Linked DNA regions of Oryza sativa Japonica Group. The protein of the gene in region 2 binds, or shares a complex with, the protein of the main gene of each other region. Links are inferred from orthologs where the notes say so. Each region holds a gene or a part of one and is shown on either strand. Other genes may lie near its edges.

The links. Proteins that work in one complex are often made in the same cells at the same time.
Region 1: exosome complex component RRP4 homolog (region 2) and exosome complex component RRP41 homolog share a complex: the UniProt entries of both Arabidopsis thaliana proteins name them as parts of the RNA exosome complex. The link is inferred for Oryza sativa Japonica Group from reciprocal best matches to the Arabidopsis thaliana genes RRP4 and RRP41.

The regions. Positions count from the first base shown.
Region 1 is NC_089043.1:8,304,602-8,309,694, forward strand, and holds the start of exosome complex component RRP41 homolog, read left to right. Parts: upstream 1-1,910; 5' UTR 1,911-2,059; coding exon 2,060-2,116; intron 2,117-2,210; coding exon 2,211-2,257; intron 2,258-2,364; coding exon 2,365-2,425; intron 2,426-3,040; coding exon 3,041-3,082; intron 3,083-3,159; coding exon 3,160-3,227; intron 3,228-3,770; coding exon 3,771-3,849; intron 3,850-3,934; coding exon 3,935-3,971; intron 3,972-4,297; coding exon 4,298-4,414; intron 4,415-4,496; coding exon 4,497-4,582; intron 4,583-4,801; coding exon 4,802-4,891; intron 4,892-5,093. UniProt on the Arabidopsis thaliana protein: Non-catalytic component of the RNA exosome complex which has 3'->5' exoribonuclease activity and participates in a multitude of cellular RNA processing, maturation and degradation events.
Region 2 is NC_089038.1:26,540,699-26,545,791, reverse strand, and holds the start of exosome complex component RRP4 homolog, read left to right. Parts: upstream 1-1,747; 5' UTR 1,748-1,901; coding exon 1,902-2,044; intron 2,045-2,176; coding exon 2,177-2,278; intron 2,279-2,967; coding exon 2,968-3,013; intron 3,014-3,340; coding exon 3,341-3,430; intron 3,431-4,177; coding exon 4,178-4,243; intron 4,244-5,041; coding exon 5,042-5,093. UniProt on the Arabidopsis thaliana protein: Non-catalytic component of the RNA exosome complex which has 3'->5' exoribonuclease activity and participates in a multitude of cellular RNA processing, maturation and degradation events.

The DNA of each region.
Region 1 (5,093 bases), on a different chromosome or scaffold from region 2:
CAATGGGAACGCAAACAAAGAGGTTTGACTGGATTTTTTTTCCCTGCAGTTTTCCTATGAAATTACCACCGTAGGAAAGTTTCCTCTATTTTTCCTAAATAAGAATCCTCCGTTCCGAATGCATAAACAGTACTAATTTCTATAGGAATCGAAATCCTCCATTTTTCCTCCATGAATCCCTCGAATCCCTCGATCCGAACAAGCCCTAAATAGGTCCTAAGCTTGCATATAATAAAGAAAAGCGCAACATTAGTATAAAAGAGCTACAGCATTCTTTTTTCTTTGTTTTTATGAATCCAACGAATCTAGATGCAATTTTATGCTTATAGTTATAGGGATCATAAATTTGGACATTGGTGTTAGAATATTGTTTGTCTGGAGAAAGAAAAGAAACCAAAATATGAGCAATTGGATATTGATCTAGTGTTGACAAAAAGTGAACGATAGGTAAGAAAAAAAAATCATTCAATTGACAAATAGACACAGCCTATGAAATATATTGGCACAAGTTGTTTGTTAATCGGCAACCTCAGCCCTGCTTTGAAACGTAAATCGGTGTAAATTACCGTCAAATTTTTGCCTCGGCTAAAAACAACTCTTTTGCTACCACTCAGAGTTTCACTCTAAATGTGAGTGGACCTCACATTGACAAATTATTGTCCATGCCACTTAGGCCTTGTTTGTTTCAACTTCAGATTATTGTAATCTAGACTATTGAGTCAGATTACTGTAAACCGACATATAATAAGATGTTAGCTGTTTGTTTCTCTAGATTATTAGCTGTTAGCCACCCAATAATCTAAAAAAAGCACCTTTAGAGTGTGTCGACGGTGGATACCCGTAGACCAGATATAGAGGGTATTGGGGTACGTTGGTACGAGGATCTATGTAGTACGACATCAAACAAGCATAAAACAAAGATTATACTGGTTCAGGCCCCTTGATAGGTAATAGCCCTAATCCAGTTGATATGGGATTATATGATGGAAACCACAGATTACAAAAGGAATAGCGGAACTCGATGATACCGACGAGACCGTAGTCGAGTTGGTTCGACTAGATCACCCGGCGGCTTGGCTCCCGTAGGCTCCGACTTCGTAGGCTGAGGTGGATGTGTCAGCGGTGAAATTCAATGCCTTAGGTCCTTCCGGGGGGTCCCTTTTAGATCGCGGGTTAGTTATCCTCCAAGCTGGACTCGGAAGTACCGGACCCCTCACGATATAGTAACGACCCAGTCTTGCCTGAGTAGGATTTCTTCCACATGCGGATTCTGCTTCTATCATGTGATAGATTTCCTTAACGTGTACAAGAAACATTCGTATACGCGCAGATATACCGTATCGGTATACAACATATATCCAAGTGTAGAGGGTATATCTTATCCGTAACCCTGACAGAGTGGATTACCAGATTATAGTAATATGGCTTATAGATTATAATAACATATCATAATAAGCTATCTGTTTGTTTCAACTTATTCATAATAATCTAGATTATAATAATTCTAAGCTGAATCAAACCGGGGCTTAACCCTCGAGCTATCACTTCCCCACTCGTGCTCCTCCCCAAACTTGAGGAAAGGAAAGAGGTTGGGACTAGGTGAGGTAGCTACTTACATGTGCGTTTTTTATTTCTTTTTATATAAGATGCCATGTCAGAAAAACTAACCAACTATATTATTATATTATCATAGGACCTGATTTGTTCTGTCTTGCTAAGATTAGGGACGATGATTTCTGGTATTGCGACTTAAGGTTATCAATTAAACTCGATGTAAAAATGAGAGGAATGTTAAATGGGCTACCACTGAGAGAGTTTCACCCTAAATTTGGGCCAGGTGAGTAGGCCACACATGGACAAATTATTGGGCCTCCATGCCTCTTAGCCCTCGACGTCTCACTGCCTCGCTCGCCCCCCTCCACTCTCCGCCGCCGCCGCGCCAACCTCCGAGCTCTGCTCCCCAGAAGACGAGGCGAGCCACGAGCTCATCGCCGGCGGCGGAAACCCCTCGCTGTCTCGTCAACAGAGGCTAGGAGAGAGAGGTAGAGCTCCTCCGGCGATGGAGTACGTGAACCCTCTCACCGGCTTCCGCGTCGACGGCCGGCGCCCCAACGAGGTGACCCCTACCCTCTTCTCCTCCATCCTCTTTCCAGTTTCCCCTCCACTTGTTCAATCGCAGGCATGGCTTACACGGGCTGGGTATCACGCAGATGCGGCAGCTCAAGGGCGAGGTGGGCGTCGTCGCCAGGGCAGACGGGTGAGGAGATGCTCCGACGACAATGGAATCAGAACTATCCCATTGTAGTTTCGTTGCTGGTGTTGTTCTGTTTGTGCTGTGTAATTTGTGATTGTTCGTTTGCGCAGATCGGCGCTGTTCGAGATGGGCAACACCAGGGTCATTGCCGCTGTCTACGGCCCTCGAGAGGTTGCTGCTCACCCTGATTACTGTGATTTCTCATGCATTAGACGATAGATAGGCCATGTACATGAAATGTTTGATGAATCGTCCCTGTGGAATTTACTTTCATGCCTATGTTATACCTCAACAAAACAGACCAACTTTTTGCAGTGCTTTTTCAGAATGCATGATGAAATGTCTTGATGGTTAATAAAATTGATTAATGCTTTTTTTTTGGGGGAAAAGCAGTTAAGTCTAACATGTCTGAGGACTCAAAACCATTAGGATGAATTTTGCGGTAAAACATGTGGTTATGGTTCCTCAGCGAGACATTGTATATTGTAAGTTGGAAGTTCTTGCTTTCTTTGCTAAGGGCTTGTTCGGTTAATCTCCAAGAAGGCCAAGAGGGAGGGATTGAGGGGGAGGTGTGGAATTTATCCCCTTCAATCCCCTTATTGGTGGGATTAGCCGAACATGGCCTAAAGGGATGCGCCTGATCCCTCCAGCAGTTCTTCATTGTGTTGCTCTGCTATTGCTTTCTCATATCCTTTTTTCTCCCCCACCTTAGAAAGGCATGGTTAGTCAAAAGGTTAACTAATTGTTATCTCATGATTTTTTTTTTGTACTTTTGGGCTCATTCAGGTCCAGAACAAAGGTCAGCAAGTCAACAGCAAAGATGCTTTGGTAATGTTTCATTTGTCCACACACATTCAGCATCAAAACTCTTCTGTAGGATGCATCCCTAAGAAATGTGTCTGCAGGTGCGTTGTGAGTATAGGATGGCAGATTTTAGTACTGGGGATCGAAGGAGAAAGCCAAAGGGTGACAGGTACATTTCAGCTTGAAGAACAAAATTTGATAAAAAAAATTAAACCCATTTGTTTATAGTAATGGATTGTTTTTTATTAGTTAGATTTGGATAAAAGTAACAGAACTGTCTGCTGGCGTTGCAGCAAGTAATGGGCATGTTGGTTTTGCTACCATTTCCAATGCTACCAAAATTTGCCAAGATAAAAAAGCCCAAATATCCCAATGTCTTTTCATAAGAAAATTTGATTTACGGTAGAAATTTCCTCACTGAACAGGCGAACATCACAGTAAATGGCCTAATTTTGGTAGTGCCAAGTTTTGGCAAGGTTGATTTTGGCATCAAAGCAAACATGCCCAATTTTTTTTGTTATGTTTGAATCTGTTTTCACACAAGTGTTCTCTAATCAAATAGTGTGTGTCAAAGGAACCTTTGGGACCTCTAGCATATCAGATCTTGCAATTAAATCAGTTCTAATTTGAATTGCATAAACATGTACTTAATGTCCCATTTTACAAAACTGTAGTAGCAAGCTAGACCATTAATGCTGCAATCATGTGACAGGCGATCAACAGAAATTTCACTTGTTATCCGGCAAACAATGGAGGCAAGCATTTTAACACATTTAATGCCACGTTCACAGGTGAGTTCCTTGGATTCAGTAACTTCAAGGAACTTGCGTTTTTAATGGTATCCTGATCCACTGTCAATGTTTATTATGCTTACAGATTGATATATTTGTCCAAGTTCTTCAAGCTGATGGTGGTGAGTGCACTTTCACATCTTTTTAGCTCCGATGTCCAATCTATATGCCTTGGAGATTCTGTCCATTATTTATGACATAATTCTTTTTTTTCCTTTGACAAACCAAAGCAATACAAGGCTATCTTGTGTCCAGAAAAGAGGCTGATTAAATCTGTACTTTGCTAAACGACGATACATACACTTGCAATGCCTACCAATTCCAATGTGTTCTTTTTTGTTGCTTAGTCCAGCTACAACATATTTGCCTACTTATGAAATATTTTGGCTCGGCTCTCCAAATGGTTTTGATTTCTGACACATCTTGAACATGGTTGTGTACTTAACAGGTACAAGGGCTGCATGCATCAATGCTGCTACATTAGCACTTGCAGATGCTGGGATTCCCATGCGAGACATTGTTACATCTTGCAGTGCTGGTTATCTGTGTTCTACTCCTTTGCTTGGTATGACATTATTATATATTCTATCTCTAGAAAGAATCATCTAGCATTGAGAAACCTCAATCATTTTAATATGCTATTTCAGATCTGAATTATATAGAAGACAGTGCTGGAGGTCCAGATGTCACTGTTGGCTTTCTTACAAAGATGGACAAAGTTACTCTTCTGCAGGTCACAAAATATCATGATTTACTTTTTGATTGCTGCAAGTTTTTGAATTCTCCTAGTTCTTTCATCTATACACACAAACAGCACAACCACAATTCCTCATACAATGTGCTCTCTTCTGAAACACTTCTTGTGCTATTTGTATACTAAAGGGCATCTTTTTTTGTAAGACTTCTAGTTATTCACTCAAAGCAGGACTAATGCTTAAAAGGTAATTTTCAGATGGATGCAAAATTACCAATGGATACATTTGAAACTGTAATGGACCTTGCAATTGAAGGCTGCAAAGCTATCGCAAACTACATCCGAGAGGTAAATAATACTTTGTTGCTTAGTCCCATTATTGCTGGTTGCTTTTGATCTTGTTTTCTGTTAGCCCAATTCCTTACTCGCAGCTCTCACTTTCTAATGATGTTTAGCTCTCGGATGAAAGCACACATACACACAGGAGATTTATTTTGGCTGCGCACCTGCGCACCCCCATACACTGTGCTTGTATTCCCCACACTTAATC
Region 2 (5,093 bases):
ACCATATCTACTGACATTACTTTTTTTCTTTTACTCGAGTAGCATAATTGCACTAGCATATACTGGGACATGTACCATTTGCTCCGAGGAGGCACAGGCAGCTGGTACTGCTGCTGCATCGGGTACTGATTCCTCACTGATTACCGGCATTACCGGCCGACAGTTCTTTTCAGATCTGACGACCATAAGAAAAATAAGAAGAAAAAAAAAAGCACGCTTGATCGATCGGTCGTACACATCCAATGTGATACTCCTACTAGCTCAGAATTAGCGCAAAAGACGTCTACAAGACCACCCAAATTTGCACAAATCAGTTCGCAACAGGTCGACTAATATTGGTCCCAGCTCGCAACCGACAGCAACACTGTCCTTCAGAACAAAGCCAGCTTTGAATCCTGTTGTTTTGGAGGTAAACAGGTGTCTTCGTCTCTCGGTGCTGGGGCCTTGCGTTTATGGACAAACGGGGTCACTCATGCTGTCCAGGTCCCGGGTTGGCACGAAAAGAAGATTGATGCAACCGTGCACACAGTTCTACCCACTGATTGGAACGGTGAGCCTTCTAATGATGTACCAGTACAATATTTCACCACATCTTTTGTCTGATTCATTCAAGAGCTGAGAGCCACGACGAACACGGCACAGGGGATCCATCCAATCACTACTACTGATCCCTGTGGACGAATTATTGAGTATCACATTCAGAGGTCGCGAAGTGATGCGATGTATACAGGGGATCTAGCAGAAGCGGCCACAGTTCACTAGAGTTAAAGCAGGTTAAGTGGTATTTGGATCAGGGACAACTTTAGTCCCTATCATATCGGATCAATTTGGAGTATTAAACATATACTACTTATAAAGCTAATTACATAAATGAGAACTAATTCGCGTGACAAATTTTTTAAGACTAATTAATTCATAATTAGCACATGTTTACTGTAGCATCACATATGCTAATCATAGATTAATTAGGCTTAATAGATTCGTGTCGTAAATTAGTCTAGAGTTATAGAATGGATTTTATTAATAGTCTACGTTTAATATTTATAATTAGCATCCAAACATCCGATGTGATAGGCACTAAAAGTTTTAATTCCTATCTAAACAAGGTCTTAACTTCAGGACATGGACAGGATGAGGTACGTATACTGTTTTGGAAAAGGTCACCTTCCCAGCTACAAGACACAAACCATGCTCGTCCACAAATAAGCTCTTCCTAAGGAATTTTCGGATGAACTTATGGACGGGAATGCTTCGCCTGTTACTCTCGGAGAAAAGAGACGTCCATTTCATTTCCATATGAAACGGAAACAACTTGATAAGAGTTGAAAAACACAGCCCAAGCAGAGCATACAAATTCTCTTAGCTATATCTGCAGCTAAAAAGAAAAAGAATAAAAACAGAACGAAAATATCTTGCGCATCCCATATTCCAAAGTAAAACATGCATACCGTGTTAAGAAATGGTTACTAACAACGTGTGTAAGATATGATAATAATAATTTGGTTAATTTGTATATTTAAGTGTCTGTTAATGTGATTTCTCTTTTCTGAATCTGAATAGAAGTTCCGAGTTCGTTCATAAAACACATCCAGTGAGTGAAAAGGCCCATGATGTCAAGCACTGTTAAACATCGGCCCAAAAAGCCCATGTCAACCAACATCGCGAGCATCGCGATCCTTTTCTGGGCTTCCGGCCCATTGTAGGCTGTAGGCTTGCATTGCCGTGGCGGCGGCTGCGCTGCGCCTCCGTGTTCCTCGAGACCGGCCGAACCCGCGCCGGATTTGGGCAGGTTTTACTAGGGTTTTTGCCGATCCGCTTCCCTTCCGCCGCGCCACCCTCTACTCTACCCTACTCCTCCCGCTTCCTCCGCGCCTACCTGCGTGCTCGCGAGGCCGCCCGCCATGAGGGACCTCCAGCTCTCGCTGAACCAGACCCAGAGGGTGCGCCTCGAGGCCGCGCTCCACGAGCTCCAGACCGTCGCCCCCGCCGCCGCCGTCACCGTCGCGGACACCATCCCCGTCAACGACGAGGACAACATTCTCAAGTGAGAGCTAGGCACTTCCCCCCTTGTCTCTCCCCCCCCCCCCTCCCAATCTCGTATTAGCTTTCGTGTGTGGCGGCAGTACGGCTGGACTGATGGGGGGTTTCTCGTTTTCCTCTCTCTCTCTGCGCGCAGGGGGCATGGGACGTCGGATCAGGACGGGGAGGTGGTGGCGACGCTGTGCGGCGTGGTGGAGCGGGTCAACAAGCTGGTGTACGTGCGGACGCTTAGGGCGAGGTACTCAAGCTCTAACCTTCCTCGGATTCACTGACGTATCATAGAATCAATTTTCCAGCGGTTTTACCCGTTTCTTATGAACCTTGAAAAGCGGTTCATTTGCGTGCTCCTTTATTGGATAACTCTGGCAGAACAATGGTATTTTCCCTGGGCGTTTTGTTATAGGACTAGCTTCCGAGATGAGAGCGGGGTTTATGTTATTGTACCGAGTCCAGTAGTAGATTTTGTGGGGTGGATGTTGATGGACTGATGGAGTATATGTAGAATGGGGATTATGGATTCAATTTCGAAGCACTCAGGCAGTGGTAACAACTTGTGATATACTGTGCTGCAGCTGGATTTGTTCTGAGCCTGTAATTTGCACCAAATCAAACCATAGATTTGATATATTTTGGCTGTGGAAATGATTGGTACAGACCATTACAACTTCTTTATGAATTCATTAAAAGTTTGCTACCATGGAAGAGACATACTTTGAATTACTTTACAAGTTCGTAATGAGTTCTGCTACCAAAATACAATGTCCTAGCTACTTTTATTTAAAACTATTTGGTTTCTGGTTTTGAATGTCTGGACAATCTGAATGTAAGAATTGCTCGTGTGATTTCTGTTGGTGGAGAGGAAGCGAGGGGAGCTTCATCTGAATGAGCGTGTCAATTCTTAGTCCATTTTCTCTCTGACCTTTTTAGGTATAAGCCGGAGGTTGGTGATATCATAGTTGGCCGTGTTATTGAGGTACTGACAATTATGCTTTATGGCACCCTTTGGACATTCTTCTTACTGATTTTGGTCCATGAATATCATTTTAGGGATAAAAACTTCATTTTGCTGGATATGATTATTTAGTTAAAAGTTGCTAGAATTTCTTAGTATTTTGACAGTCCTGATAATATATGCATAAATTGGAGTAAGGTAGTTTTGGTAAATCTGGTTTAATATTATAGTCACATCTTCACAAAATCAGCTACTGCTATCTTTATTATTATGTCAGTTCAACATCCATGTTATGCAAATCTATTAAAAAAGATAAATAACCTACTGTCGTGATTTTTGTTTCTCAAGATTGCACCTAAACGCTGGAGGTTGGAGATAAATTTTAGCCAAGATGCTGTTTTGATGCTTTCTTCTATGAATTTACCCGATGGAATTCAGGTACAGTTTTCTCATTTTTTTGTACCTTAAAGCTTATAATATCCAAAGTTTGTGGGATGTCAGATGGCTGAACACAGCTACATCTTCCTGTTATACCAGTCTGGAAAATAAATGATATGGAGTACTACAACAAAGGATATTTCACGCATTCAGCATTCGTTGAAGCACCTTTTCTAGTCTCCTTAGTTATCTTAAAACACTGAATTCATTGAAAGCCATTCTGTTTCACTTAGAAGTTTAGCTTTTGCATTGTTGAAAGATGAAAGATGACTATTCCATTTAAAATTTTGAATTATACTTTAATGAAAACTATTCTATTTCACTTGGAGATATAAAGCATAGAAGCACTGCTCAAGATCAGCATTGTATTTGAATAAAAACACCAACTGAACCAATTTTCATGTAAATGACCAAAGAAAATACAAGTTTGAAGAAACATGGTGGCATGTTACGTGCTAGTGCGTCAGGGTCAATGCTGTCTATCCACTAGCGTCACTCTAGCTGGGTGTCCATTGAATAGATGGCACCATATAAACACTATGGCCACATAGAAATGATTCATTTTACTGTTTTGGAAAATTATACACTATGATGACATCGTTGGAATGTTGCTTGACAGTTTACATATTTTGTCATGTTCAAAGAAACAAATGATGGACACTGTTATTTTATTACAAATTTCATTATTTATTTTCTCGTTTTTCTCTAGTATTCTAGTTAATGCATTTTCCCTGTCCCCATTGTTAGAGAAGGAGAACTGCTGTCGATGAACTTAATATGCGGACAATTTTTGAAGAAAATGATGTTATCTGTGTAAGTATTGTACTTATCCTTTCTCTCTGAAGGTAGAAGGACTAACTTGTTTGGTGCTGGAATGGGTTTTAATTTTGATAGGGGTTTTGACTTAGGCCACGCAATAGATGTGCACTTGAGTATCTGCCATTCCGTAGAAGGTATGATAATATGCCTCTCAATAGACACACATAATGATGATCCGCGTTCTACCCCTTCTAGATCGGCCTGGAGGGAAGCATGCAAACCAAATGGTGATAGTGGCAAATCATCAAGTGTGCGTGTGCATTGACTATTGGGTAGCAGATTATCAGTTACTTTCTGTTGAGTGGTAAATCCACACCTATTGAGTGGCAAACAGTCTCAACCTGCTCATTTAATGCACTTAATTCATCATCTATCAAAACCATTTTTTACCAACTGTTTATGCTAGTCGCCTATGTATCTATATTTTGATTAGCACCAAACATCCATGAATAATGCAGCAGTTCAACTTGGCACATTTTTCTGAACATTTTTTTTTTCTGTGAATGCATTAGTTAGTTCTGGAGAAATTTCTTCCACTCTTAAGGCATTTTGCTTGCAGATTACAAAAGGATGCCTGAATCAAGCATTTTGTATTTTGTTTACTATTTTTTGTTTGTGAGGTCAAATTTCAATGTCCCATACTTCTTTATCTATTATTCTAGCCTAGGGACTTGGTCATATTTGAAATCGAATTTCCCATTTATATTTCTACATTTTGTCATAGATACTAATTTCCATTTTGGAGCACCGTTTAAATGGTATGCTGCTTCTTTGCATGGAATTAATTACCAGGCTGAAGTTCGTGGTTTCCAACATGATGGATCTCTGCACCTACAAGCACGGA